Linked DNA regions of Macaca fascicularis. The protein of the gene in region 1 binds, or shares a complex with, the protein of each later gene. Links are inferred from orthologs where the notes say so. Each region holds a gene or a part of one and is shown in the gene's direction. Other genes may lie near its edges.

Region 1 (3,500 bases):
TAATTACATGCTCCTCCTAAGATGTCATCTCTTGTTCATGCTTTGAGAGTCCAATTATGCTTTTGCAGCTGTGGTTCTAATGGGTAATACACATGCTGTTGTGCTATGTAGCTAGAATAGAGATCTTCCTTTTATTTCTTATTTACTTCTCTCAGTTTGACTTGAAAGAAACAGGTATATTGGGAAGGGGAAGAGGGAGAATAGACTGTATCCGTAAGTAATGTGGTGACATTGGCAGTACTGAACTTGCTTATACATAGATAGAAGATAGAAGTAAAAGTGATGTTGCTTATAACCACAGTAAGTTTTATATCTTTTATTCTACAGTTATTTGTTTCATTACATCTGCCAAGACAGGATTGTATATCTTTGTATCACTGATGATGTAAGTAACTTGAAGACATATTGCTATTTAACTATGTGTACTATTAATACAGCCAGTTCTTTATTATCTACACCAGGGGTCCCCAACCCCCAGGCTGCAGACTGGTACAGGTCTGTGGCTTGTTAGGAACCAGACCACATAGCAGGAGGTGAGTGGCCTATGAGCATTACCACCTGAGTTCCACCTCCTATCAGATCAGCAGCAGCATTAGATTCTCATATGAGTGCGAACCCTGTGATGAACTATACATCCGAGGGATCTAGGTTGCATGCTCCTTATGAGAATCTAACTAATGCCTGATGATCTGAGGTGGAACAGTTTCATCCCGAAAACATTCCCCCTCCCCCAGTCCTTGGAAAAATTGTCTTCTACAAAACCGGTCCCTGGTGCCAAAAAGGTTGGGGACTGCTGATCTGTACCTATGGTGGGCAAAGGTGATGCGAACTTTACATAGCTGGAATTGTTAATATTTTGCATTTGTCATATAGAGCAGCAAATGATAAGAAAACTTGATACTGCGGTATGTGCAAATCAGTTCGATTTTGGTAGAGTTTTAGCTTAGCCTGTTGCAACTTCTATATTCTATTTTGTAGTGAGAATTGGTGTTCATAATTATAATTCTTTGATATCAAAACCTCTCAAAAATTGTTTACCTGGAATGTTAAATTAGATAACGTCATTCCTTCTATCAGTAGTTAATGAATTCTTTCATGTGTGTGAACTTTGGAAAAACAAAATTACAGTACATTATGATCAGCTATATAAACCTGTAGTTTACATTGGCTAGGTATGACTGTCGGCTCTCAGCCCAAAATTCTCAGTAACTTAATGATGTCATTAAGGTCCTTTCTCTTCTCTGCTTTCCTCCGTGTCTCCTTCTTCCCAGACAGGTTGCCATTATGGTTATGTAGAGCTACATACTTATTTATTCATGTCCAGAGAAGAGGGACTGTGTCTTCTTGAGTGTCTTATTGTAGGAATGAGGAAGCTTTTCCCAGCTGCATGCCCTCCCCTCCCCCTTCTTTCAAAGTGAACTTCCTTTCATGTCTTATTGGCTGCATGCTCATTTCTAAACTGTCTACTGACAAAGAGACATGGAATTGGCATGGTTGCCATAGATCAGGGTTCCTAATCTTTGTTGTATCACAGACTCGTCACTTGTGGAACACTCCCAGAATGCTTTTGTTTTCTTTTTTTAATTTTCCTTTTCCAGAATGCTTTTAAATGTATAAAACACACACAATTCTAACAAAGCCAGTTGTATTGAAATATATATATATGTAGTTTTCAAAATATTTTAAAAACTTGATGTAGTCATATATATGCTTCTTTATTAACTCATTAACAAGGTCTAGTCGTGGGTCTAATAACTAATAATCTTGATGTGATGGGTGTTAACAATATTTTGAGATATCTATAACTGTGATGGTATATGAAAAAAGATTTCTGTTGGTGATAGTTACAGGTACTGTTAATACTACCTTGGTTATGAATATACTACCTATATTCACAATTGAAATATAAGTTAACAATTGATAAAAATAATGATGTGATGATCTTTTTTTCTATCCAAGTACAAGGGCCCCTTGAATTTGGACCATTGACCCCAATTTAAGAACCCTCGGCTTAGACTAAGCATCTTGGGTGAAAGGGAAATGACTGTCAACCATAGTGATCATCACAATGATTTTTATCTCTGGCTTCACAATATTTTCCAAAAGTAGAAAAAAATCCAGCTATATGTGAAATGACTGATGTGAAAGAGCTTGGAGTAGATAAAAAATAATAATGAAATCTGGGATAGTCAGAGTCGAGCCTCGTATTTCTTGAGCTGTAATTTGATACACACATACACATACATACATAAACACACATACACACATTCATTTTTTTCCTCTAAGGTATTCTTCTAGAGAACACACATAATTTTTGGCTGGCTGAGATTAGACATGAGTATGTCACTTGATCTTTTCAAATGTACCACCACTATTGAAAAAATTCAATTTGAAGTTAATATCAGTAGTATTATCTGTGTGTATGAAAGACTGTATGATTATTATGGGATTTATTAAACATATTCTTGTGCTGGGCCTTCTAATAGATCCTGTAAAATATATGGAGGAAGTAAAACCCAATTCCTGATGTCAAGAAGTTGATAATTATCATTATCTTCAGTTGTCAATGACCGGATATATCTGGATTCACTCTCAGCTCTTTCATTTACTAGTTGTTGGACCTTTGGACAAGTTAGTTACTTTTTCAGGGCCTTCCTTTACTTATCTTTAAGATAGGATCATTGCTAGTTCCTCCTCATAGAATCATTGCTCAATCAATGTTAGCTATTTTTTATTGTTGTTCTTAATCACTCACATCATCTTTGTTTACTTTCTAAATGTGAGTTCTGTGTTGATCTCTTTTCAGGATTTTGAACGTTCTCGAGCCTTTAATTTTCTGAATGAGATAAAGAAGAGGTTCCAGACTACTTATGGTTCAAGAGCACAGACAGCACTTCCATATGCCATGAATAGCGAGTTCTCCAGTGTCTTGGCTGCACAGCTGGTAAGATCTTTCTCAGGATAAGGTATTTTGATTTTTATCTTCTTTATTACCTTCAAATGCTATGAATCTAGGGGGCCCTGACCTGCAATATAGTTTTCTGATTGTGTTACTGTAAGTCAACATAATAAAACTTGCCTGATTAAAAAAAATGTAAAGGAGCAATTTTAGGGTAGAAAACAGTGATATTCTTTATTATCTCTGTATTCTCTATTAATAGTGGTCATAGTGTCTCATGATCGGAAGAGCATTAAAGATCATCTAGTTCAACTACCCATCTGATGCTTAAATGTGTTCAACATGCCAAATGATCTTTTAACCTGTACATAAACCTTCTACCCTTCCATGAGGCAAATTTAATTTTCTAACAACCCAAATTAATAATTTGAAACTCTCTTCATCTGTATGAGTCCATAATTATCAGCTTCGTGAGGTTTTACATGTGTTTATACCTGTGAAATACCACTGTACTCAAGACAGCATTTTAATCTCCCTAAAAATTCCCTTATGTCGGTCCCCTCCCCCACACTCTGCCCCAGGCAACCACTGATCTGTTTTC
Region 2 (3,341 bases), on another chromosome or scaffold:
TGTGTGTGTGCACGCGCGCTTTGAACAGCTAAGAACTTGGAGCTGCCTCCATTTCTGTCAGTGGTTGTTAATTCTGGCCTGACAAGGCTACTTTTGTCTTCATGCTGTCTGTGTTTAGGATTACAGGTGGGGTAAAACTTCGGTGGGGATTTAGAAAATTAGGGCAGTTGAGAAATTAGGGCAGATGGGGAAGCTTGCTCAAGCCCCAGATACTAATTTCCCTGAGACCAAATCACCCCCAGTGTGGCAGCCTCAAGGCTTTTTGTTTGACCTTAGGTGAAGTTCTTTTTGGGGCTCACCAAGAGGGTAACCACATACGTTTTTTCCAGAATGTGGTAGTGTCTCAGACTTCTACAAAATTTCTTTAGATGCTGAAAAGAAGAATTGTAGTCATCTAGGCAATACCACCCCGAACCTGCCTGATCTCAGAAGCTAAGCGAGTCAGGCCTGGTTAGTACTTGGATGGGAGACCACCTGGAAATACCAGGTGCTGGAGGCTTAAAACAAAGAACAGAATAGCTTGTTCATGGTCCTTCAGTTCTCAGTACCAGTCAAGTGGGAATCTTCAGTGAATTAACCTTTTTCTAGGGCTGCGGAGTTTAGTTGGTTTGCTCATAGCACTATCAAAGTTACAGGCTATATGCATTAATCAGGTAGCTCCCACATCTGGGCTGCCACCTTTCAGAAGTTGATAGTCCAGGAGACACATGAACCAGTTCAGATTCATCACAAACACAGGGAAAGTGCTCCAGTATTTTTAATCCATCTTTCCTTGCCTCACATAAGTGTAAAAGACAGTGGAGTGGGGGTATTGTGATCCTATTGATTCATTTCAGGTTCTGCTTTAGTCTGTGACCTTGAAAAGAATCATTAGCTTCTTTGGTTCTGTCTTAAAAGGAATGAAAATTATTGCTCACTGTATGCTTTCTAACATGGGGAAGGTCATGAGGAATATGCTGGCAATGAATTTATTATGGAAAAAGTCTAACATTTCTCTTCCATACTCCTTTCAGAATCGGCTACAGTCTCAAAGGGCAATGCTTCTGCAAGGCACTGAAAGCCTGAACCGGGCCACCCAAAGTATTGAACGCTCTCATCGGATTGCCACGGAGACCGACCAAATTGGCTCAGAAATCATAGAAGAGCTGGGGGAACAACGAGACCAGTTAGAACGCACCAAGAGTAGAGTAAGTCTGGGCAGACAGGGAAAGGGGCAAGTATGGGGAAATTAGGGGGCCACTGCACCTGGAAACCATACTAAGACCAAAAGCTACAGCAGTTCTGTATTCAGGGAATAGTCTTTTTTAAGTTCATATGCTTTTCTCAATTTTTATTTATTAATTTTTTTATTACTTATTTATTTTGAGATAGCGTCTCACTGTGTCACCCAGACTGGAGTGCAGTGGCGTGATCTCCACTCACTGCAACCGCCACATCCTGGGTTCAAGCGATTCTCTTGCCTCAGCCTCCTGAATAGCTGGGATTGCAGGCATGTGCCACCACACGTAGCTAATTTTTGTATTTTTAGTAGAGACGGGGTTTCGCCATGTTGGCCAGGCTGATCTCGAACTCCTAACCTCAGGTGATCCATCCGCTCTGGCCTCCCAAAGTGCTAGGATTACAGGCATGAGCCACTGTGCCTGGCCGCTTTGCTCAATTTTTAGTTTGCTTGGCCAAGAGATCTCCCTTAGAAGCAATTTTACCCCTAAGAATTAGACATCATTGGAAATTTTTGCTTCAGTGAAGGGAAAAAAAGATGGAAGAAACCTGATTTCTACACTTATAAGATTACAGGAATTAATAAGGATAAAGTGGCTGTATTCTCTCTTTGGCAAGAGAAATAATACGTCAAAAGGCACTTAAGGATTCAAAGCTTCCAATCAGATTTTAATTTTTTACACATCTAATAGAGTATTCTGCTATTCTTATGAAAACATCATCTACTTATACCCTGTCATTTAGAGCCAAGGCTATTTTCTAGATTTCGTAAAATAGTACCACAGTTTATAGATTTATAAATTATGCTTCAATCCTGGACTATAACCCTTTACTATTATCTAAGTAAAAGTAAAAAAAAAAAAAAAAAAAAAAGTAATAGGGAAAAAAAATCTCTAAGGATTATCCAGTAAGGTAAACTGGATCATTGTGGAAAGAAAACAAATATTTAACACCAAATGATGACTATATCAGGGACCTCTAGTCTACTGTCACTCTGAGAGCCTCAGAAAAATAACTCATTTATTTTTTCCTTTCCATAAATGAGTTAACCTATGTATGAATTTTTTAGTTTTTTAGAGACAGGGTCTTGCTCTGTCACCCAAGCTGGAGTGCAGCAGTGCAATTAGAACTTACTATAGCTTCAAACTCCAGGGCTCAAGTGATCCTCATGTGTAGCTGGGACTGCAGGCATGTGCTACTGTGCCTGGCTAATTGTTTTAATTTTTTGTGAAAACGGGGTTTCACTATGTTGCCAAAGTTGCTCTCGAACTCCTGGGCTCGAGCAATCATTCCACCTTGGCCTCCCAAAGCGCTAGGATTACAGGCATGAGCCACTGTGCCCGACTGGAATTTTTAAATTAGTACAATTTGCCAATTGAATGCTGTATTCTTAATAGCAGAAGGCAAATCAATTTGAAAAACATACTGTGGCCAAGATTTGGACAGGAAAATACTAGCTCAGTGTGAAGATTTGAGTAGATTTTCTTAGTAGCTACAATTCTCCATTAAGTCAGAGTAGTGCCTGCCCTCTTCAGTGAAAATTCACAATAAAGTACTACATTCAAGGAAAGCTATGGAGAATGTAACTTGCTTTCAGATTGTGTGGGTTTTGGTTTTTGAACATACCAGGTAGATTGGTTGAATTTAAAAGCCCAGGAGGCCAGGCTCACACCTGTAATTTTAGCACTTTGGGAGGCTGAGGTGGGAGGATGGCTTGAGCCTAGGAGTTTGAAACCAGCCTGGGCAACATAGTGAGATCTCATCTCTACTAAAAATAAAAAAAAGTAGCAGGGTATGGTGGCATGCACCTGTGATCCCACCTTACTTGGGGACAGGTGGGGGTATTGCTTGAGCCTGGGAAGTCAAGGCTGTAGTGAGCTGCGATTGCAGCACTGCACTCCAGCCTGAGTGACGGAGCGAGACCCTGTTTCAAAGAAATAAAAGCCACGGAATGAGCTGAGAGGTCAGCTTACCAAGGCCACTGGGGAATGGGAACAGATGGCAGGTAGCCATCTGCTGGAGGTGAAATATCCTCCAGCTGTCCAGATTAGTAGCAGGCAGTTGAAAGTTACATGGAGGTTCTTTTCACAATTCAATGCAACTGTCTCTTAAGAGGGTAAAGA
Region 3 (4,233 bases), on another chromosome or scaffold:
GGCATTAACAGTTAAAATCCTGAGGGTTATTGCCAAGAGCATGGATGGGGTTGCTTTCTGGGAGCAGGGAATAAAGGTGGTGATACCCAGAGGGATTATTTCTCAGCCAGGGTCTCCTTCCCTGTGGGTTTGTCCCTGTGCCCCTGACTACTTTTTCTTTTTTTTTTAACTTCTTTTTGTGGAGATGGGGTCTCCTATGTTGCCCAGTCTGGTCGCTAAGTCCTGGGCTCAAGCAATCCTCCTGCCTTGGTCTCCCAAAGTGCTGAGATTACAGGTGGGAGCTACCATGCCCAGTCCCCCTGACTCCTACACTTTCTTCCCACTCACCAGGATGAGCCCCAAGAGCCTCAAGAACCCAACAAGGTGCCCCTAGAAGACACAGAGACAGACGAACTTTGGGCATCCTTGGAGGCAGCTGCCAAGCGGAAGCTCTCGGATTTGGAGCAGACCCAAGGAGCTCTCCAAACCAGACGGAGAAAGAAGAAGCGGCCTGGGTCCACCAGCCCCTGACGCCCCTGTGCCTGCCCACTTTGTAAATAAACAGCTGAACATCCACCATGACCCTGAGCCTTTTGTGATGGGAGAAAGGAATGAGGGGTAGCTTGGGGTGGGGGCTCCCTGAGCTGGGGCGACGGGATATCTGATGTCACAAAAGCCGGGCCTGGAGGCAGGTAGGCTGGCGTGGGTGGCAGGGAGTCCGGGGCCCCGAGGGGCCATGGGCTGCTGCCAAGACAAGGACTTTGAGATGTCGGATGAGCAGTCCAAGGAGGCAGAGTCTGAGGCCGTCAGGGAAGATGGGACCAGAGGCACACACAGAGGGCCCAGGGAGTGTGAGAAGGGGCTTCCCGAGGGTAGGGGTGAGCTCAGAGGCCTCGTCGCCTCAGGCGCCGAAGGTATCGACTTGAACTCCCCGGACCATCGGAATCATAAGTCGAACGAAAGCCTTCTGATCACCGTGCTGTGGCGGCGACTATCCATGTTCAGTCGTCGGGGCTCCTCGCGGTCAAGCAAGAGACAATCAGACCAGATTAGGTCATCAATGTTCAGTGGTCGGGACTCCTTGCCGTCAAGCAAGAGGCAATCAGATCAGACTCGGAAACAGGAGCGTCCGATCCGAGAAGGCAACCAGGAGGAGCCGGAGAAGGGATGACCCCAGACCTGCTCTTAGTCAGCCCCAACCTCCAGAGAATAAAATTTCTAACGTGTACCTGCACCACCACTCTGGGAAACGGGCGCGGACACCGCCGGGCAGCTGGTTCTTTAAGGCTCCTCCCCGGAGGCGGGCCCAGCCCCCTGGGCTCCCGCTGTAGTACTCAGGGGCGGGGTCACGGCAGCGCCTTAGCCAATGGGAGGGGGGGTCGCTCTTGCGTTTGGATGTGGGGCGTGTCTTTCGGGTCGCCTGGCTTGAAAATGCGTGGGACCGCCCCCTCGTCACCGGGGGTGGGGTTACGTGTAGGTGACGTGGCCGCTTCCAGTCTGGTCGGGTTTCGGCGGCCTCAGTGCCCAGGGAGGAGGCAGTGACGGCCGGGGAGATTGGTAGTGGCGGCGGCGACAGGCAGCAGAGGGGAGGTAAGACTTGCTCTAAGAGGGGGTCTGGCCACCGTGTCAGCTCTGGGGCAGTGGTTTTACAGGGGCGACGACTGGCAGGGGGAAGGGAACCAGGGGCAAGCAGGCAAGTCCTGCCGGCCCGGCTCCTGGTGAGCGAATTCCTTGCCGTCCAATCAGGAAAGCCTCTGTTGAGAGAGACGTCGGCATTAGCTAATGAGTGGTTGAAGTCTTCCAGAAGGCGGACCTTGGGCGGGGGTGGGACTTCCTGTTTCAAATAAACACCCAGAGGTGTCCCCCTCCGCCCACCGAAGTGTGTCAGTCTTTGGAGGTCCGTCACCGGCCCCCCCCCGAGGGGCCGAAGGAAACCACGGAAACGAAGGGACTGGGTTAGGGCCCGGGGCAGTTACACGGGCCAGGCCGCAGTCTGAGGGCCACGGGACTTGGCTCTGGCCCTGTCTCTGCTTCAGGGCCCCCGGCCCGCGCTCTGGCCGCCGGAGCCAAGTTGGAAGAAGAGTCTGAAGCGGGTTCGACTTGGGACAGGGGAAAAGCAGAGCCCTTTCCGCTGCTGGCCCGCCCCAGGATCTGCGAGCGTCTTGGGCGCGAAAGTCCATGAGAAGTGCGGAAGGGGCTCGAGGATTTGTTGATTGGGGTGGGGCGGGGGAGTTTGGGGAAAGAAGCTGCCTGGGGAATGACACTCTCCCCTCCACAACAGTCCGAGGTTATGCGTCTCAATGATCCCGCGGAAACGCTACGGGTCTAAGAACACGGATCAGGGTGTCTACCTGGGTCTCTCAAAGACACAGGTCCTGTCCCCTGCACCTGCTGGCAGTAGCAGCAGCGACATCGCCCCTCTGCCCCCCCCAGTGGCCCTCGTCCCTCCCCCTCCCGACACCATGTCCTGCCGGGATCGGACCCAGGAGTTTCTGTCTGCCTGCAAGTCGCTGCAGACCCGTCAGGTAAGGACCTGGAGTGGAAAATGCGAGGAGTGAGCCATACTCAAATCTAGGAAGGACTGTGCTCCACCACTGTTAACTGAAGTAATTCTTGGGGGTACCTGATGGAACTGATAGGCTTGGATGGGGCCAGTAGGGTCTGCTGTAAGCAACAGAGAAGAGGTCGGCTGGCTAACTAGAGGCAAGGACTTAGACCTTTTTTTAGGAGGAATCCCTTGGAGGGCAGAAGTGCTATTCTGGAGGGAGTACTTCAGAGAGTACTTGGCTGTAATATAATTGGTGTGAATAAGGAACAAGTTCTAGGAAGAGCCTTTAGCTGAGAAACACGCACCTTGAATTTTCCAATATATTTCTACCATAAATTTGCTCTGTAACCATGAGAAAATTAATCTAGTTACATCTTAGTTTTTATCTCTGTAACATTAAGGACATTTTCTAGATCAGTAATTTGTTGTTTTTGTTTTGTTTTGAGATCTGTTTTCAACTCTGTCAACAGGCTGGAGTGTAGTGGCGTGATGATAGCTCACTGCAGTCTTGAACTCTTAGACTCAAGGGATCCTCTTTCCACAGCCACCTGAGCAGCTGGGACTACATGGATGCACCACCCAGCTAATTTTAAAATTTTTTTTGTACAGGCAGTGTCTCACTATGTTGCCCAGGTTGGTCTGGACACAAACACCTGGCCCTAGACCAGTAATTTGTATCAAAATAACTTAGGGTTGGATGTGGTGGCTCGTACCTGTAATTCCAGCACTTTGGGAGGCCTAGGCCACAGGATCGCTTGAGGCCAGGAGTTAGAGACCAGCAGGGGCAATGAAGAAAGACCCTGTCTCTACAAGAAAAGAAAAAAAAAGCTGGACGTGGTAGCATGTGCCTGTAGTCCCACCTACTTAGAAGGCTGAGCGAGGCCCAGTCTCTTTCTCTTTTTTTTTTTTTTTATTTTAAGAAGGAATTTCACTCTTGTCGCCTAGACTGGAGTGCAGTGGTGCAATCTCAGCTCACTGCAACCTTCTCTTCCCGGGTTCAAGCGATTCTTCTGCCTCAGCTTCTGGAGTAGCTGGGATTACAGGTGCCCGTCACCGTGCCCGGCTAATTTTTGTATTTTTTTTTTAGTAGAGACGGGGTTTCACCATGTTGGTGGGGCCGATCTTGAACTCTTGACCTCAGGTGATCTGCCTTCCTTAGCCTCCCAAAGTGCTGGGATTACAGGCATAAGCCACTGCGCCCAGCCTCTCTCTCCTTTTTTGGAAACAGGGTCTCACTCTGTCACCAAAGCTGGAGTGCAGTGGTTCTATCTCGGCTCACTGCAACATCTGCCCTCCTGGGCTCAAGCAGCCCTCCTGCCTCCAGCTTCTCAGTAGCTGGGATTATAGGCATGTGCTACCATGTCTGCCTAATTTTTGTTTTGTTAGTAGAGACGGGGTTTTACCATGTTGCCCAGACTTGTCTCGAACTTCTGTGCTCAAGTGATCCACCTTCTTCATCTTCTCAAAGTGCTGGGATTACAGGTGTCAGCCACTGCACTCAGCTCCTCTTAAAAAAAAAATTGGGAGTGCTTTCTAATTATTTATTTATTTAATTAATTATTTTTTTTTTTTTTTTTGAGACGGAGTCTCGCTCTGTCGCCCAAGCTGGAGTGCAGTGGCCGGATCTCAGCTCACTGCAAGCTCCGCCGCCCGAGTTTACACCATTCTCCTGCCTCAGCCTCCCGAGTAGCTGGGACTACAGGCGC
Region 4 (4,108 bases), on another chromosome or scaffold:
TTTTTCCATTTAAATACCAAAGGATGAAATCTTATTCTTAAGTTTTCAAAAGACCTGGAAGGAATCCATTCATAACATATTTTAAAGCAAGAAATTGCAATAAGCCCAGAATGAGGGCTCAGACAGCTAAGTTTTGGTCCCAGCATAGTCAGTAACTATCAGGGCAACTTGAAGAGGCCAGTTAATCTCAGGTTCTTCTGTAGTGCATTGTACCTTCCCCTCCCAGAGCCCAGAGGTCTATCAAAGATAATATGAATGGTATTTGGAAAGTGCACTAAACCTCACACAGATGTAAGATCCTTTCATGAGTTCCTTCAACGATTGAAATGTCTCTTCCTACGTTCACCAGCCACTTCCTAATTCTCAAGTACAATGCACTACTTTCAGTTCTTTATTTACTTGAACTTTCTGTGACAGATGACATGATGGACCATTCCCTCTTTTTTCCCTTCATTCTCTAGTTTGCCTTTTCCTGGTTTATTTCCTATCTTGTGGGTTACTCCTTTTCTGGGTTATTCTTTCTCTGTCCATCTCTCTTAAACAGATAACATTCCACACTTAGTGTTGGTGAGTTTCAACCAGAATTCTATACTAGGTTTTGCTTTTTTCCACCTAAGTGCATCTGGACTTTTGATATCACATATCCGGGTAATCATTTTAGAAAATAGTGTTTCCTTAATATAGGCGAAGGCTAAGCCAATCTATCTTCTAATTAATTTGGTGAGGGCTTTCTTTCATTTGTAGCAATTGATGCTTTTCATCTAACAATTATATTATATTTGCATATTTATCATTGGAACAGTCTCTGCTTGTTTTAAACCCTGTGAAAACTACGCCCTGCTTTTCAGGAATGCTTCGAATGACTTGTACGTACTAGGAAAACTTGTTTACTAAGTGAGGACCCAGAGATGACTCTTCACTTATTCCTTCATTGTTCCCGCTAGGATTTTGTATTCGCCTTTGCATTTTTCGATAGAGCTGTGAACGCGATCTACTGCAGTTAAAGGTTAGCAAACAAGATAGGCAGGAGCTAAAGGGGCGGGGTGAAGACCTGCGTGCAAGAAGGCTTCACCAGATAAAGAAGACAACTGTCCTCCATTCTGTCCTCTGCTTTTTTGCACGCAGGCTAAGAGGCGTTCACCATCTCTACGTCAGGCTTCAAAGAACAGCTCCCTTGCAATTTTGCTGATACTCCCATTCCTTAGCTTGGAACCGAAGGGGCGGTGAGGGCCGCTGTCACTCAGCCCCGCGGGCCAATAGAAAAGGGGTGAACCCCGCCTTCTTCCTTGAATTGTGCTGCGGGCATGCGCATTGGGCGTCCCCACGCCACCGCCCATCAGCTGAGAATTGCAGCTGAAGGCTCGGGGGTCGGTGGGTGACGGTGGTCGGAGGTGTAGGAGGGAGCCACCGAGGTCCAGGTAAGAGGACCCTGGGGAGGGGGGTTTCCTGGCCGTGCGACAGGGAGGCGCGGTGCCCCTGCGGCGCCGCTCCTCCTTGTTTGTGCGCGTGGTCAGGTGGCCGCCGCCCTGCGCTCTGCAGCAGGCACTCGGTAGGTGAGGAAGGGCCGGACTGCCCCGGCTCCCGGAGCGCCTGCGGCTCCCCATACCCCCAGGCCGGGTGCAGGGGCGCGGCGCGTTCCGCATTCCTGGAGTGCGCGGCTGTGGTTAGGTGGGCCTGGCCAGCCACGCACCCGCCGTGGTCCCATGGGCAGCGCTCCCGAGGCGCACGGCGTGGCCGGCGCCAGACCCGGCTGGGGCCCAGCCCAGGAATCCAGACACGACCAAATGACCTCTTCCTCTTTTCAACTCATGGATTGAAAAACACACTTTAAACTTCCCGAATATAGAGGAACTGAAAAATGTATGGCTGTAGCAGACAAACCGTGTATGTTTGTTTATTCAGTGGCTCGTAGTATTTGTTTTATTTGGCTTGATGACTTAACATACTTTGACATTCTTAGTATACACGTTTAATTAATTTACATAAAAACCTTTAAACATACATAAAATATTTCTAGTATTTCCTCCACCTTGTTTTTTAGTTACTTACTTTCTTTAAATTCAGACAAAGAAAAAAAAGTTGCATTTCTGATCAAATGCTGTGTGTTTTTTTCCCACAAATTTCTCACATTTGCTTGACTGTTATCTATATACGTTAATTTTTGTTTACCTCAGATCGTTGTATTCTGACTATAATTATATATAGTATATAAAACTTGCCTAGAATCTGGAAGAAAAGAAAGTAATTATGAAATGCTGTGCTATTTAATAATGTTGGAAGTGAGCGTTTCTTCTGCAGGTTCTCTGAGCACACCTGGGCAGAGGCTAATAATGGTGTTAAACTGTGTTTGTGATGTGGCCAGGCCTTATAGGCCACTTTGAGAAGTTGGCCTCAGACTTGTGACTAGTTAAGAATTATGCTCTTAACTTCACAGTGTCTGCAGAGGTTAATATGATACCATATTAAGTCATTAACATCATCATTTTTCCTCGGATATGTTACTTATGTTGCTCTTGATAACAAAATCAATTCTCATTTTGATTATGACCCCAAACTTTAAGTGCTGATGATTGAAAAGTAAATTATAGAAAATATCCACAGTAAGTCTGAGTAAAGTTTGCTGTGATTCCATTTAATTTGCAAGTTTCATGTGTGAAAGTGTGAAAAAAATAATCCTTGATATTGTGAACTAAAACCAAGTAGTACAAAAGTTCAGTGATGGAAGATCTAAGGCCAAAGAATGCAGTTAATGTAGTTTGTGCAGAGGATACTTATGTAGACAGTTCCTTGAGCATTTAGTATGCACCAGGCACTGTAGATTACACAGAATGACAAGGTCATCTATCCCCTGTTTATATTCCAGAAGTAGCTCCTGTTTGTATTCCAGAGGTATAGGGATCAATAATAAAGGTTTGTATTCCAGAGGTGTAGGGATCAATAATAAACAGTAACTAATTAGACTATTGAGTATTGTGAAGCAGTAAGTTAGATTGACAAAGAGTGGCCTGTGGTGAGTTCTCACTTTCAGATCAGAGTGGTCACAAAGGTTTCTCTAGCATGTGATGAGGCCTTGCTGGGGAGAAGGAGCCAGTCACATGGAGATCATGAGAAGAGCCTTCTAGAAATAGGAAATGGCACCCAGCAAAGGCCTAAGGCAGCAAGGAGCCTGCGACCTTCGGGATCTGAAAGAAGGCACTGGAATTTTATGTTTTAGAAATGGTAATATTTACCCTCACGCTGGGTGTGTGTTCTTAGGAAGTGGGTACATTCATTCATTCTACAAATATTTGTTAAGCACTTATGATGTAGCCAGGCACTGAGAATAGTGCAATCCACAAAACAGGCAAAAAAATGCTCACCCCCCACCCGTCAGAACTTATTTGGGGTAGAGGGTAGAGAGAAGTCCAGTTGTTTATGCTGATGTTAATGATTAAGAAAGTGAAATTGACCCCTTCTTTGCCCAGAGTAGATTTATAGAGCATGAGATATATGCTAAATGGAAATCTTAAGGATTCTACAGTGTATCTGATTTTAACTGGGAGTAGTGTTTGACACTTTAAGATTACATTTTAACGTTCCCTTTGTTCATTCTTTTGTGTTCTTTAGAAGCAGTCTTGAGAAGACGCTCATCTGAGTGTTGCACTTTGATTCTCCCTTCCTGTTTTTCTCTTTATGGTGTTTGTGTATCTTCATAGAAAGATGATTATTGCGATGTGGAGATTGGCACTGTGCAATAGCTCTTTCTGTGATGATGGACGTGGTCTGTGAATGAGCTGTCCAAGCTGCTGGCCACTAGGAACACAGAATTTTTGAACGTTTGAAAGGTGTCTAGTATGACCGAGGAACTGAATTTTTCATTTAACTTAATTTTAATTAATTTTAATTTTTTAAAAACAAGAGCTACAATGTAATTTAAGTGATATACAATATAAAACGGTGTAAATTGTCACATCAAAAAATGAAATGTAGAGTAAAAGTGTAGTTTCTTACTGCAGTTACCTTGTTAACAGCTTATAATAAGATATTTTTTGCTTTTATTTTAATTGACAGATAATGATTATACACATTTGTGGGGTACATGTGATACCTCAGTAGATGTATACAATGT
Region 5 (4,270 bases), on another chromosome or scaffold:
TACACTTTCTTGACATCTATTTCTCATAAACTTTATTTCTTTAACACAGTGGTTCTCAAACTTTTGGTCTCAACTCTTTTGCACACTTAAAAATTATTAAGGGCTCTAAACAATTTTTGTTTATATTGACATTATCGACATTCACTATATGAGAAATTAAAAACTTTTGATGTTTTTGAAAATCTTTTTTTTGAAGTCTGGCTTAATAGAAAACAGCTGTTCTGCATTTATTCCGTTGCAATATCACAGTCTAGCAAACTCAACTGTATGCAACTCATGAGAAAGTGAGAGTGAAAAGGCAAATAACATCTTAGTATTATGAAAATATTTTTATATTGACCATTAAAACCACTATTTTAATACACATTCTACTTGTGCATCCTCTTTATGGAAAAAAAAAAATCTTGAAGAAATCAATGAGATTTTGAATATCCTTAGGCCAGCCATGGTGGCAAGTGCCTACAGTTCCAGCTACTCAGGAGGCGGAGCCGGGGAGGATCGTTTGTGCCCTGGCGTTCCAGTCTGTAATGAGCTAGGATGGCGCCTCTGAATAGCCACTGCAATCCAGCCTGGGCAACATAGCAGACCCCCATCTCAAAAAACAACACAAAACAGAACCATGAACCAAAAATGCAGAAGAAACTCATTGACTGACTTGTCAATTTTAATAGCTATGGCTCAAGACGGTACAATTAAAAACTATGCATGAAGCAAGAACAGAATCCAGCGACATTAGGGCCACTCTTTCACCTTTGCCTCCATCTAAAGTTCCTATTCATCCTTCAAATCTCTGCACAGGTGACGCCTTTTCTCTACAGCCTCTTCCATCACCACAAATACGAGTGATTATAATAATAACATTATTAACGATTACTACCATTTATTGGCCACTTACTAGGAGCCAAGCAACATCAAAACACAGCACGCGTCAGCTCACTTAATTTTCACAGTAAACTCCGGGGAGGATGCTGGCTTCACTTTACAGAGGTGACTGAAGGGTGGAGAAGAAAGACCTCTGGCCTCTAGCTCTATGCCTTGCACATCTGCTCTGTCTCAGCACTTATTGCACCCCGAGGGTCACCGTCCAAGCGCCTCTGTCCTGCTCAAGGTGAGTCCTTGCAGTCAAAGGTCAAGGGTGGCTCGCCTCCACGTCCCCCGCAACCAAACCGCCCGCTCTCAGTGAGGGAGCCACCAGAAGGGAAGGAGCCTCCCAGCTTCCCGGTCCTCACGCTCCCGGAGCCCACACGCCCCAAAAAAGCACAGGAAAGCTCGCTGAGCTCTCCGCACTGCTAAACCCTCCAAGCTTTGCCGGGAGAAAGAGGTGCCCGTGAGCTCGTCGCGGGGTTCCTCCTCCGCCAGGTGCGCCGCTGAGTTCGGAACCTTTTTCCTCCCGCCGCGGTAGCGGGGCTCAGGCCGGAACCTTTCTTCTCGCATCGCAGTTGCCGGTGGGGAGGAGTGCGGGGCAGGACCAGTCCTCCAGCGGCCGGGTTCTCGCCGCGGTCGCCGGCTGCTTACGTGAGCGGGCCCAGTGTGGGTCTGCGGGTACGGGTCGCTATGGCCGTGGACATCACGCTGCTATTCCGGGCCAGCGTCAAGACCGTGAAGACGCGGAACAAGGCGCTGGGAGTGGCGGTGGGCGGCGGGGTCGATGGCAGCCGGGATGAGCTGTTCCGCCGGAGCCCCCGGCCCAAGGGCGACTTCTCCAGCCGGGCCCGCGAAGTGGTGAGCTGGTTGCTATGGAAACGGCGGGTTGAGGAGGGGGCAGTCCTGCGACAGGGACCCCGAGCCCCAAACCACACCCCGTCCCGTAAGCATTGTGTGAAGGAGGTGGCCCCAAGGGGGACAGGAGAGTTGGCCTCAGAGACCGGACAGCTTTTTGGGGAAGGAACAGCCTTATTTTAAGGAAGGGGGACGCATATTGGGGAACAGATTTCTCCTGCGGCGGCGGGGGTTGGGGGACGAGGAAGGAGACCCTCAGAAATCTCTATCTGGAAAGTGCACGGGCGGCTTTGTGAGGTCATGAGTTCGCCGTCACTACAGACTTGCACTCACGGGAAACCTCACTGTCCTTCACTTCCTGTTGCAGAACTGACCACACCGTATTTGCCTGTGCTCTTTACTTGTCTGCCTCCCATCCCCAGTTGAGATTAAAAACCATATTCAACCGAACTCTTTCTTCCCTTTGTCTCCGCGATAAGTAGGGCTCAGTTCCTCTTGAGACGAGTTTAGGGTCATCTTTCGCAAACACGGTGTTACAGTCATCTCAACTACTTTCTGTTCCCTGATCAGAGCAGGTGTCCCTTCATCTCTCTGGGAACAGGAACCTTTTCCTTAAGGGCAGGGACAGTTGTTTTCATCTCACAATGCATGACTCATAGCATTGCTTAGTAAATGTTTGTTGAATGAATGAATGAACAAAATGGCTGTCTTTCCCGTTAAACAGAAAATTCCATGAGGGGAGAGATGTTTGTCTTGTTCCCTTTTGTGTCCGTGACACCAAGGAGGGATCTAGGTTTTGTGGGGCCGAAAGTTTTTATAGTTATGTCTGCCGTCTTTAAGAAATAAAAATCACCAAGAGAGATTCAGAGCTTTGGAAGATGGAAGTGAGGGACCCCGAAGCTAAAACCTCATTAATTTCACAGTAGATCCTACTCTGCTTGGCATACACTTGGCACTGCATAGACACTCAGATATTTTCGAATGAATGTATGCATGCATGCATTAATGACAGTTAGCAGAGGATACTTAAACATCAGAAAGGGGTTGGACCAGATGAATACACTCTCCCTATTGATGAACATCTATGAAGCACCTACTTTCTGACCAGCCTCATGTTAGAGTAATATGATGTAAAAGGAGTAGTGGAGTAGACGGACATAGACATAAAACAAGTGCCATAAAGCCTTGCAAGTGTTATGTAGGGCACAAAGAAGAATGTGGTCAGTTCTACCTGAGGATCAGAAAAGGCTTTATAGAGGTGATGATGCCCAAAACAAATCTTGAAAGAGGATTAGTTGGCTCCAGTGCAGAAGGGCATCTCAGGCTAAAAGAATAGTATGCGCTAAGATGTGGAGGTGTGTAAGAGTCTGATATAAGTTGGTTCAATAAACATTTGAGTGAGACTGGTATGTGGGACTCTCATAAAAATTGGACCGGGAGAGATCTTAAAGGGCTTTGTATATCACTGCGGAGTTTGAATTTTGCCCTCTAGGCCGTCAGATGTTATATGGTAGAGAAAGTACCAGAGAAGGAGCCAGGAGACCAGGTTGTTGTCTGAACCCTGCAACTGTTAGCTATATGATTTCATTAAGCAAGTGTCAAGACCTCAGTTTATTTACCTGTAAATGGTCCTTTTTTTTCTCCTCCTCCTTTTAAAAAACTACCTTGGTCCTCTATATATAACAAATTAAAGTGGAAGCTTCCTAGGCTGAAATGAGAGGAAGAGAAACAGGATACTCTCCCTCCCAGTTTGGCCTAAGCACTTCCTGGGGTTCCTTTTGTAGAACCGTGGTATGAATATCACAGTATTGGCGTTGTAAGGGTCCCTTCTGACTCTGAAACCACTGATTTATGAACACTGTGCTAATTTTGAGTCCTGCTCAGGGAAAGGGGGGATTTGGGAATGGTCGAGACAAGAGGCACAGTTGAGTTGGCAAGCCCTTTGGATAGCCCTGTGATCACTTCCACCGCTCCCTGAGTGGTGAAAATGTGTTTTAGACTTTTGAGTTAATGGGCCTCAGGGACAGTAACAGTCCTGTAGGGTGCTGAGTTCCCTGTCACTGGAAGTAATTAAACAGAGTGATGACTGCTTTTCAGAGATGTTTGAGAAGAACTTTGTGCATATGTCATAGGTTTGGACCGCGTGACAGTGAAACTTCCAATTCTGCTATGTATTGATGTGAGTAGGTGTCACATTACCTTAAGTGAGTACATGGGCTGTGTTGTTCAGGGACGCTGTCCCCCTGACGTAGAGGAAACATACATTCTTTTAAGCAATTTTGATTTTGTGTTGTCATTGCTTTGCGTATTATCTCCTGTTCTTCCAACCATTCCCCACTCCCCATCTTCTCTTGTGGGAATTTTAACTAGAAGAGCTAGTGATGGATGTCCTGTGCTTTCACTATGATTAGATGTGTCAAAAGTTTGCCTGTTATTTTGTTTGGCCTGGATTCCTTATACAGAAAAGTCTGGTCAATACCAGAAGCACATATTCTAATTCAGGTTTAGCCCTGGTTGTCAGACTTAATGAAATGTAATAAGTTATAGTATG
Region 6 (3,966 bases), on another chromosome or scaffold:
CAGTTTGGGAGGCTGAGGCAGGAGGATTGCTTGAGCCCAGGAGTTAGAGACCAGCTTGGACAACATAGTGAGACCCCATCTTGTAAAAATTTTTAAAAATAAAAAATGAGTGAATATCTCGATAGCCAGGATTAGAGAAGTGTCACAGTCAGAAAGACTGAAGCCTAAAGAAGGCCAAGGAACCAGGGTCTTCATCCTCAGATACATGAAAGGCTAAGATTCTGTCCACAAGTATTTATAGAGGGCCCGTAATGTGCTTGGTACTGAGCTAGGAACTCCCCAGATTCAGTTAAGAACAAAGTCATTACCTGCCTCAGATGCAAGGCAGGGTCTGGGGGGTGTGAGTGGCAGGGAAGGCAGCGTGCAGAGACACTTTTCTTAGCCTGAGCTGCCCTGACATGGTCTGACAGCCCACAAGGTGGTGAGTGCAGCCGGGCTGTAGTGTTCAAGGAGGGCGCCGGCTGGCTGCCCACCTGTCAGAGGCTGCGCCAGGAGGATGCGGAAGAAGAGGTTTCTGCCTTGGCTGAGGTCACTTTCCACCCCTAGATTCCCTGCCCACACAACCCTGCAATTTTCTGACGCTGACGACTCGGATCCTATTATTTCCCGATTTTCAAGGTCCCATGATGCTGACAGCCCCAAATGCTAAGTCGTCAGTCCGCCCACGCCCCTGGACCCGAAAGCAATAAAGGCGAAGTCAGCAAGGGTCCTACCACCCACTGCCTCGAAAGGCCTCTGGGAGTGGTGGGCGCGCCCCTCCCCACCTCGCGGGGGCCGTGTGGGCGTCGTTCGGTGGTCGGAGTGCCGGGGACGTCGTGATGAAAACAGCGTCCCAGAGACGGCGCTGACCGAGCCGGGACACGTGACAGTCACAGCGTCACATTCTGCGGTCCACGAGTTTGGGACCGGGTTGCTCACGTGACGCGGTGGGGGCACCATGGGGTGATATGAGATGCGGGTGCCTCAGATTACGTACAAATGACGTATTCCTACCCCTTTTGGCAACCAGATTTCCGTTGGAAGATGCAACGGTTCCGGTGACGGTAGCCAGTTCTCGCGTCCACGCAGCTCCGCTTCCGCTCGGGGCGCAATAACTTCCGACTCCACCTTCCGCGCCTCGGGCGAGGAAGAGACGCGACCATATGCGCATGCCCCGAATTTATCACGGAGGGGCGGGGCTGAGGCTGCGGGAGCTGGAGGGGGGAAGAAAAGGGAATTCCAACCTGTGGAACCTTGGGGGGTCCCCGGGGTCGGCGCCTTCCCATTGACTGTGGGCGGTGCAAGGGACGGAGGCTCTGGTGGCTCGTGGGGGTGTTGGGGTCCACAGGGGGAGGGAGGGGAGTGTCAGAGTGTGAGTGGGGTACGGGTATTCCAAGTTTGCCGGCCTCCCGGTCTGACGCCGGGGAGGGAGAGCTCAGGCCGCCATGCGGGACAGGACCCACGAGCTGAGGCAGGTGAGACGCCAGGGCAGCGGGGATGGGGGCGCGCGGACGAACTGGAACGCAGGACTCCTGGTCTTCGGGGTAGGGAGGGGTGGCTGATGGCCAGGAAGGAAAGTCCCGGAAGCCTGTGGGTCCTGCGGGGTGACAGCCGCAGCGAAACAGTGGTGCCAATGACTCCGGGCCTGGCAGGGGGATGACAGCTCGGACGAAGAGGACAAGGAGCGAGTCGCGCTGGTGGTGCACCCGGGCACGGCACGGCTGGGGAGCCCGGACGAGGAGTTCTTCCAGAAGGTAAGGGGATGGAGTCTTGGCCTGGATTCGCGAGGGGGTAGGAGGACCCGAGGAGCAGCGTGGTCTGGAGTACCCCATATCTCTTTCAGCCCTCTCGGTCACCCTCCCCAGGTCCGGACAATTCGGCAGACTATTGTCAAGCTGGGGAATAAAGTCCAGGAGTTGGAGAAACAGCAGGTCACCATCCTGGCCACGCCCCTTCCTGAGGAGAGTGAGTGAAACCCCGGCTGCATAGCGCATGCTCCGCCCCAGGGATTGTGGGGGTTGTAGTTCCACGCAGGTGGTGGCCAGGGTGGTTTGTTGAGGTGGGGGCTGCTGTTTGGGAGTCGTGGCCTTCTCTTATTCAGGCATGAAGCAGGAGCTGCAGAACCTGCGCGACGAGATCAAACAGCTGGGGAGGGAGATCCGCCTGCAGCTGAAGGGTGAGCTACTGGGACCTCAGGCAGATCCTTCCCTCTGATCCTGCCCTGTTGTTGGTATATCTGGGGAGTGTGTGGCCCAGAGAAGCCAGTGATATATCCAGGTCACACAGCAGGCCTGGTTCTAGCATCTCTGTCTTCTGGCCTCCAGGCCATTGTACTCTCCACAGCACAAGGCAGTCTCTCAGGTTCTTTTATTTACAATGAAACCATTTACTTACACAGTTATCACTGCCCACTGGGGCATTCTTTGGGCAGGGAGATGGGGTTTTGTTAGGTGGCCTCTGCATTCGTACGGGAACTCAAGTGATGTAATGCAAAGAAAAATAAACTTACTTTCTCCTCTTGGAGGCTCAGCCTTAGTCATTTTATGATAAATTATATTTCCCTAAAAATCCTATGGAGACAAGTACCCCCAATACCCCTGTGTCTTCCCACAGCCATAGAGCCCCAGAAGGAGGAAGCTGATGAGAACTATAACTCCATCAACACAAGAATGAGAAAAACCCAGGTGGGTTTTTTTTCTCAGAAATGACATTTCAGCAAATGTTTCATGAAGTAGTAGATGACAGATGTATGAAGGAAGGGCCTGTAGAGGTCATGGAGTCCAATTGGATGATTTTTCCAAGTGGGGAACCTGAGCTCAGAGAGAGAAAGAACTTGCTCAAGGTCAGGAAACCAGGTCTCCTGATGCTCAGTCCGGTTATAACACCCTGCTTTATTTTCTTCCATTCAATAAGAAGTTACTTATTGACCCCAGACAAGACCTAGGCTTGACTGTGGGACACGTTTTCTTTTCTTTTTGCCTCAGCCTCCTGAATAGCTGGGATTACAGGCGGACACCACCATGCCGAGTTAATTTTTGTATTTTTAGTAGAGACGGGGTTTCCCCATGTTGGCCAGGCTGGTCTCGAACTCCTGACCTCAGGTGACCCTCCTGCCTTGGCCTCCCAAAGTGCTGGAATTACAGGCGTGAGCCACTGCGCCCAGCTGGGACACGTGTTTTCTAGGAGTCAACATGAGGAGTTAGGGTTCAATAGGGGATAAAGACATTACTCACGTGGGATCTGGTGGCTAATGGCGCTGCCCAGGGAAGGAGAGTGAGAAGTCACAAATTGACTGGCAGGTTTGCTATCTGTGTGACAGGGACATCCTTAGTCCCACAGGTGGAATTCAAGAAGTCAGGAAGTGGAACTTCCCTGGGGCGACACTGAAGAGGAACTCCCCTGGTGTAATATCTTTTTTTAAAAAATTATTATTATTTTTTTGAGATGGAGTCTCTCTCTGTCGCCCAGGCTGGAGTACAGTGGCACAGTCTTGGCTGACTGCAACCTCCACCTCCTTCAAGCGATAATCCTCCCTCAGCCTCACAAGTAGCTGGGATTACAGGCGTACACCACCACACCTGGCTAGTTTTTTATATTTTTGGTAGAAATGAGGTTTCACCATGTTGGCCAGGCTGGTCTTGAACTCCTGACCTCAAGTCCTCAAGTGATCCACCTGCTTTGGCCTCCCAAAGTGCTATGATTACAGGCATGAGCCACCGTGCACGGCCCCTGGGGTGATATCTTAGTAAGGAGATTTGCAGTGATCTGACTGGCCCTCTTTGTGTCCCCAGTGAGGAGGATACCAAGAGGTCAGGGTTGGAGTAGTTGAGCCCAGGGCTCAGCAAGGACCCCAGATTGAAGATGAAACAGCTTGGGCATCTTGGAAGGGTGCAGCTGGAACCAGGAGAGCAGATGTATCTCTGGAAAAGGAACTCCAAGGAATGAGCATATTTAAGGTCTCAGGAGAAGGGGCAAGGCAGAGCAGAT
Region 7 (3,976 bases), on another chromosome or scaffold:
CGGAATTTCCAACAGGAAAGGATCTCAGCCCCCACCGCGCCCTGCCACACACACAGTGACGCCCCTCGAGCTCCACAGAACCGATGGGATGTAGACGGGAAAGCCGAAGTGGAAAGGACTTTTCAGTCCCGGGCCATTGGGTTCGTTAGGCGTTTGCTGGGGAATGCAAGCGAACGGGACTCCCAGGCCCCTGCCTTTGTGGAGCTTATGTTCCAGAGGGGAAGGCAGACAAGGAAAAACAAAAGGACATGAGGCGGTCACAGGGCTGTGCTTCAAAAGAAGCAAAAGGTGACTGCTGGGCTGCAAGGGCTGTGAGGCAGTGGTGTTTTTGCTAACACTGGACGATGGGAAGCGAGCCGGGAAAAGACTGGAGGAGCCACTCCAGGCAGAAGGAGCAGCACTTGCAAAGGTGGAAGGGCCGTGAGGGGCCGAGAGAAAGGGGAGCAACGCAGTCTGGCCTGGACTCAGTTCCCTCTTGACAAGCAAAGATCCTGCGTGTCCGTTTCAGTGGCCATCAGGAGGATTCAGTGACGCACAGGAAGCGCGGTCCACTGGCTCTTGTAACAAGTGCCCGGGAGCAAAGGCGTCTACGGCCCCCACTCCCCGTGCCGCCTCCCAGTCTCTTTCCCTGCTTCACTTTCCTGTAGCGCTTTCCGCACACCTGTATTCGACGCGGCGCGCACTCGCAGGCACTAGCGAGGCGCCGATCTCCACTTGACAGAGGAGGCACCCTTGCCCCCTCCACACCCAGGGCTCCTCGCGGGCTTCTGCCCGAGGGGCCTACTCCTCCCTCATGACCCGCCTGTGAATCCTTCCTAACCGTTAGGACCTAACGCATGGCAGCGTCTTTCCACCACCATCGTCTTGGCACTGAGCAAGCAAACGGCCCCGCCCCGCCCCACGTTCACAGGAACAACAAACAAACGTCACATCCGCGGTGCTGCTGTAATCCCAGCACCTTGGGAGCCCGGCAGGCGGGGGCTGCAGTGAGCTGAGATCGCGCCACTGCCTGGGCGACAGTGCTGAAAATAAGTCACAGCGACGCCCATCGCTTCCGCGACCCCGCGGTTCCCCACCCTCGGGCCTAAGCCGGAAATCAGCGAGCCCGACGCCATCTAGGGGCGTGGTTGGCGCGGAGGCGGGGCCATCGCTGGCGGGGGGCGGGGCCGGAAGCCCGTTCCCCGTGACTGCGCCACGTCTGAGGCGGCTGTGGCCGCGTCGGTGTTGGCGTCGAGGAGCCGGGGCAGGGCACGATGGCGGACTGGGCTCGGGGTGAGCGCGGGAGAGCGGAGCCGTTGGGGGCAGGGCCGGGCCGGAACCGACGCCGCTGCCTGTAGAGCCGCGTGCGCCTGCCTCTGGCCTCGGCGGGGAGGACCCTGTCAGGGGGGCGGATTCGGATCCTTCCGGGTCCCAGCAGGGCCGGGTTTCGGCCAGCACTGCCGCTAGGAAGGACGGCGGGCGGGGCGGCCCAGCAGCTCCAGCGAGGGCTCGCGCAGCTGCGGGGTCCCCCCACTCCCCGCCGCTCCCTGTGAGATCGTTTTGCATGGGTTCAGGGTGAGCGGGAGTCTCGGCATTCGACAGGTCCCGAGGCCAGGCCTTCGGAGTAGGCTGTGCTCCGCTGGTGTCCAGGCAGGCCTCTGCTAACTAACTTGGGCCTCGGTGGCCCCATTTCCCCTCCTGGAGCCCGTGTTCTTCTCTGCAAAGTGGGATATTGATGCCTGTCTGAGTTATGATGAGTAAAGGAATTAATGAACAGGAAGTGGTTGGAAGGACGCTGGCATCCCTTCCTTAACGTTGAAGCTAGGGAGAAGGTGGTTCTCACCCACCTGAGGTGACAGAAATTCCTTATCACCTGGCCCAGCCTGTCACAGGCCGGGCCTCTGCAAGCGCTGTGCCCTGGGTGTTGCAGGAAGCCCTGTGTGGGATGCAGACCAGGGATCACGCTCCTGGTCGACCTCAGCTCCCATCTCGCGGAATTGGGAACTTTGCTCAGCTGTTTTCTGTGCGGTAAAGGGCCTTCCCAATGTTCTGTCCTGGTTCCTTGCCACCTCTTCAGGACCCAGCTCAAAGGTCGTCCCTGCAGGAGCCTTTCTGCTGCCCTGCTGGGTACTTTTCCCAAGTCTTTCCTATGCTCTTAGCAGAGTTTACTCTTTTTCTATAAGAATGGGCTCCACATACACAGATGGCGACCTCCCTGGATGCAAGTGTCACATCTTATTAACATCCCAGAGCTGGGCCCAGTTTTTGCTACACAGTCTCAGAAGGTGCTGGTTGGACTGAACCCACTGTGGGTGCTGGCCCATCCCCACCTGGATGTGTACACAGGACACGTGTTCACATGACAGGCCCTTGCACACATCGTCCTTTATGCAGTCTCTCTCACATGTGCAAGATTCACCTGCTGGAACCTAGGTTAGGGCCCCTAGATTTCTGACTCACCCAGTTGTGGTTGGAGTGAGAGGGGTCAGAGGCCTCGCTCCCCGATGGATGCAATCACTCAGCCCCTCTCTTTTCTCAGCTCAGAGCCCGGGCGCTGTGGAAGAGATTCTAGACCGGGAGAACAAGCGAATGGCCGACAGCCTGGCCTCCAAAGTCACCAGGCTCAAATCGGTCAGTGGTGGTCTGTCCTCTTACCTCCACCTGGTGCCCTTGGGGAATGGGGATCAGAGGGAAGGTAGAGGGCCCAGAGGAGTTTCAGGCAGTTTGCCGTCCTCCTCGTTCGATTCGTGGCTGTGCTCACCTGCATGAGGCCCCAGCTGACACCTGGACCTTCCTGCTGCTGCCCCACTGTGTCTGGCAGAGTTGTTGGCAGGGTTTGTCTGGTCTGGGAAGGGTGAGTGCTGTATTATGTGTCTGCTCTGGCCCAACCCTGCCCTCTCTGTGTGCTGAACAGCTCGCCCTGGACATCGATAGGGATGCAGAGGATCAGAACCGGTACCTGGATGGCATGGTAAGGGCCCACGGTGTGCGCGAATCAGTGCCCTGCCCCCAGCACTACCTGCTACAGAGCTTGCAGTGTCTCCTTCAGCACTGGTGCGGGTGGGTGGTCAAATCACCACTTCTGTGTGATCTTGCCGGGATTCTTCCCTTAGGACTCGGATTTCACAAGCATGACCGGCCTGCTTACAGGGAGTGTGAAGCGCTTTTCCGCAATGGCAAGGTCCGGACGAGACAACCGGAAGCTTCTATGTGGCATGGCTGTGGGTCTGATTGTGGCCTTCTTCATCCTCTCCTACTTCTTGTCGAGGGCAAGGACGTGAGACAGTGGGAGCTGGTGTCTGTGGGTGCCAAGGGCAGCCATTGTCTTCCCTGCCTGGCATCTTGGGCTCCAGAGGACTTACCTGCAAAGTACTCCTTTGAAATTATAATCGTGGGCCAGGAATCCTTTCTGTGTGGCAGGAGGCTGCGGCTGCCTGTGACCTGATGAGCTCATGTTGGCTGGTCCCATGTGTGGAAGGGACTCTTTCGGGGAAACCAAGGCCCAGCCCCTCCCCCCTTCCCCAGATGCTAGAGACACAAGCAGAGCTGGGGCCGCAGCGTGTCTGGAGGAGCCAGGTCTGAGCAGAGCAACTGTTGAATCCCAGGCGTGGCCACCTGTGGCCTGCAGCCTTTCTCCCAGCTCTTGGGACGCTGACATCTGAAGGCTCCACGGTCGTGTCCTTGTCTGGATGAGGCCATGTCTGTGATCCAAGGTTCCTGGAACTGACACAGGAAGGGGCTGTGAACCCTAAGTGGGTGCTATCTCCTCCAACTGAGGCTTCTCAGCCTGGAGATGGCAGTTACTCCTGGCCATGGTTGCTGAGCACAGGAGACCAGTGCGGGCCACCCTGCTGTGAGTTCTCTGTGCCTACTCTCCAGTCCTGCGGATGAAGTGAGACCCCTGGGGAGAACGGGTTGTGGATGAAGGAGTGGACTGCAGCCTTGGCCTAGCCACTGGGTGGGATCCTTCTGGGTCCTGTGACTGTGTATCCAGGAG

The links.
Region 2: VAMP7 (region 1) and VTI1B share a complex: the UniProt entries of both Homo sapiens proteins name them as parts of the SNARE complex. The link is inferred for Macaca fascicularis from reciprocal best matches to the Homo sapiens genes VAMP7 and VTI1B.
Region 3: VAMP7 (region 1) and STX5 share a complex: the UniProt entries of both Homo sapiens proteins name them as parts of the SNARE complex. The link is inferred for Macaca fascicularis from reciprocal best matches to the Homo sapiens genes VAMP7 and STX5.
Region 4: VAMP7 (region 1) and STX7 share a complex: the UniProt entries of both Homo sapiens proteins name them as parts of the SNARE complex. The link is inferred for Macaca fascicularis from reciprocal best matches to the Homo sapiens genes VAMP7 and STX7.
Region 5: VAMP7 (region 1) and STX18 share a complex: the UniProt entries of both Homo sapiens proteins name them as parts of the SNARE complex. The link is inferred for Macaca fascicularis from reciprocal best matches to the Homo sapiens genes VAMP7 and STX18.
Region 6: VAMP7 (region 1) and STX4 share a complex: the UniProt entries of both Homo sapiens proteins name them as parts of the SNARE complex. The link is inferred for Macaca fascicularis from reciprocal best matches to the Homo sapiens genes VAMP7 and STX4.
Region 7: VAMP7 (region 1) and BET1L share a complex: the UniProt entries of both Homo sapiens proteins name them as parts of the SNARE complex. The link is inferred for Macaca fascicularis from reciprocal best matches to the Homo sapiens genes VAMP7 and BET1L.

What each region holds. Positions count from the first base shown.
Region 1 is NC_088395.1:161,936,688-161,940,187, forward strand, and holds part of VAMP7 (vesicle-associated membrane protein 7), read left to right. Parts: intron 1-327; coding exon 328-385; intron 386-2,806; coding exon 2,807-2,944; intron 2,945-3,500. UniProt on the Homo sapiens protein: Involved in the targeting and/or fusion of transport vesicles to their target membrane during transport of proteins from the early endosome to the lysosome. Required for heterotypic fusion of late endosomes with lysosomes and homotypic lysosomal fusion.
Region 2 is NC_088381.1:135,559,350-135,562,690, reverse strand, and holds part of VTI1B (vesicle transport through interaction with t-SNAREs homolog 1B), read left to right. Parts: intron 1-1,013; coding exon 1,014-1,187; intron 1,188-3,341. UniProt on the Homo sapiens protein: V-SNARE that mediates vesicle transport pathways through interactions with t-SNAREs on the target membrane. These interactions are proposed to mediate aspects of the specificity of vesicle trafficking and to promote fusion of the lipid bilayers.
Region 3 is NC_088388.1:11,216,575-11,220,807, forward strand, and holds the start of STX5 (syntaxin-5), read left to right. Parts: upstream 1-1,433; 5' UTR 1,434-1,569; intron 1,570-2,015; 5' UTR 2,016-2,164; intron 2,165-2,260; 5' UTR 2,261-2,279; coding exon 2,280-2,504; intron 2,505-4,233. Other genes in the region: WDR74 (WD repeat-containing protein 74), read left to right, coding at 331-510; TEX54 (testis-expressed protein 54), read left to right, coding at 644-1,150. UniProt on the Homo sapiens protein: Mediates endoplasmic reticulum to Golgi transport.
Region 4 is NC_088378.1:36,468,806-36,472,913, reverse strand, and holds the start of STX7 (syntaxin-7), read left to right. Parts: upstream 1-1,308; 5' UTR 1,309-1,418; intron 1,419-4,108. UniProt on the Homo sapiens protein: May be involved in protein trafficking from the plasma membrane to the early endosome (EE) as well as in homotypic fusion of endocytic organelles. Mediates the endocytic trafficking from early endosomes to late endosomes and lysosomes.
Region 5 is NC_088379.1:8,513,663-8,517,932, forward strand, and holds the start of STX18 (syntaxin-18), read left to right. Parts: upstream 1-1,470; 5' UTR 1,471-1,554; coding exon 1,555-1,722; intron 1,723-4,270. UniProt on the Homo sapiens protein: Syntaxin that may be involved in targeting and fusion of Golgi-derived retrograde transport vesicles with the ER.
Region 6 is NC_088394.1:29,214,429-29,218,394, forward strand, and holds the start of STX4 (syntaxin-4), read left to right. Parts: upstream 1-1,166; 5' UTR 1,167-1,424; coding exon 1,425-1,454; intron 1,455-1,631; coding exon 1,632-1,733; intron 1,734-1,822; coding exon of another isoform or gene 1,823-1,844; coding exon 1,845-1,944; intron 1,945-2,080; coding exon 2,081-2,155; intron 2,156-2,592; coding exon 2,593-2,663; intron 2,664-3,966. UniProt on the Homo sapiens protein: Plasma membrane t-SNARE that mediates docking of transport vesicles. Necessary for the translocation of SLC2A4 from intracellular vesicles to the plasma membrane.
Region 7 is NC_088388.1:85,832-89,807, reverse strand, and holds the start of BET1L (BET1-like protein), read left to right. Parts: upstream 1-1,176; 5' UTR 1,177-1,253; coding exon 1,254-1,272; intron 1,273-2,518; coding exon 2,519-2,610; intron 2,611-2,893; coding exon 2,894-2,950; intron 2,951-3,092; coding exon 3,093-3,260; 3' UTR 3,261-3,976. UniProt on the Homo sapiens protein: Vesicle SNARE required for targeting and fusion of retrograde transport vesicles with the Golgi complex. Required for the integrity of the Golgi complex.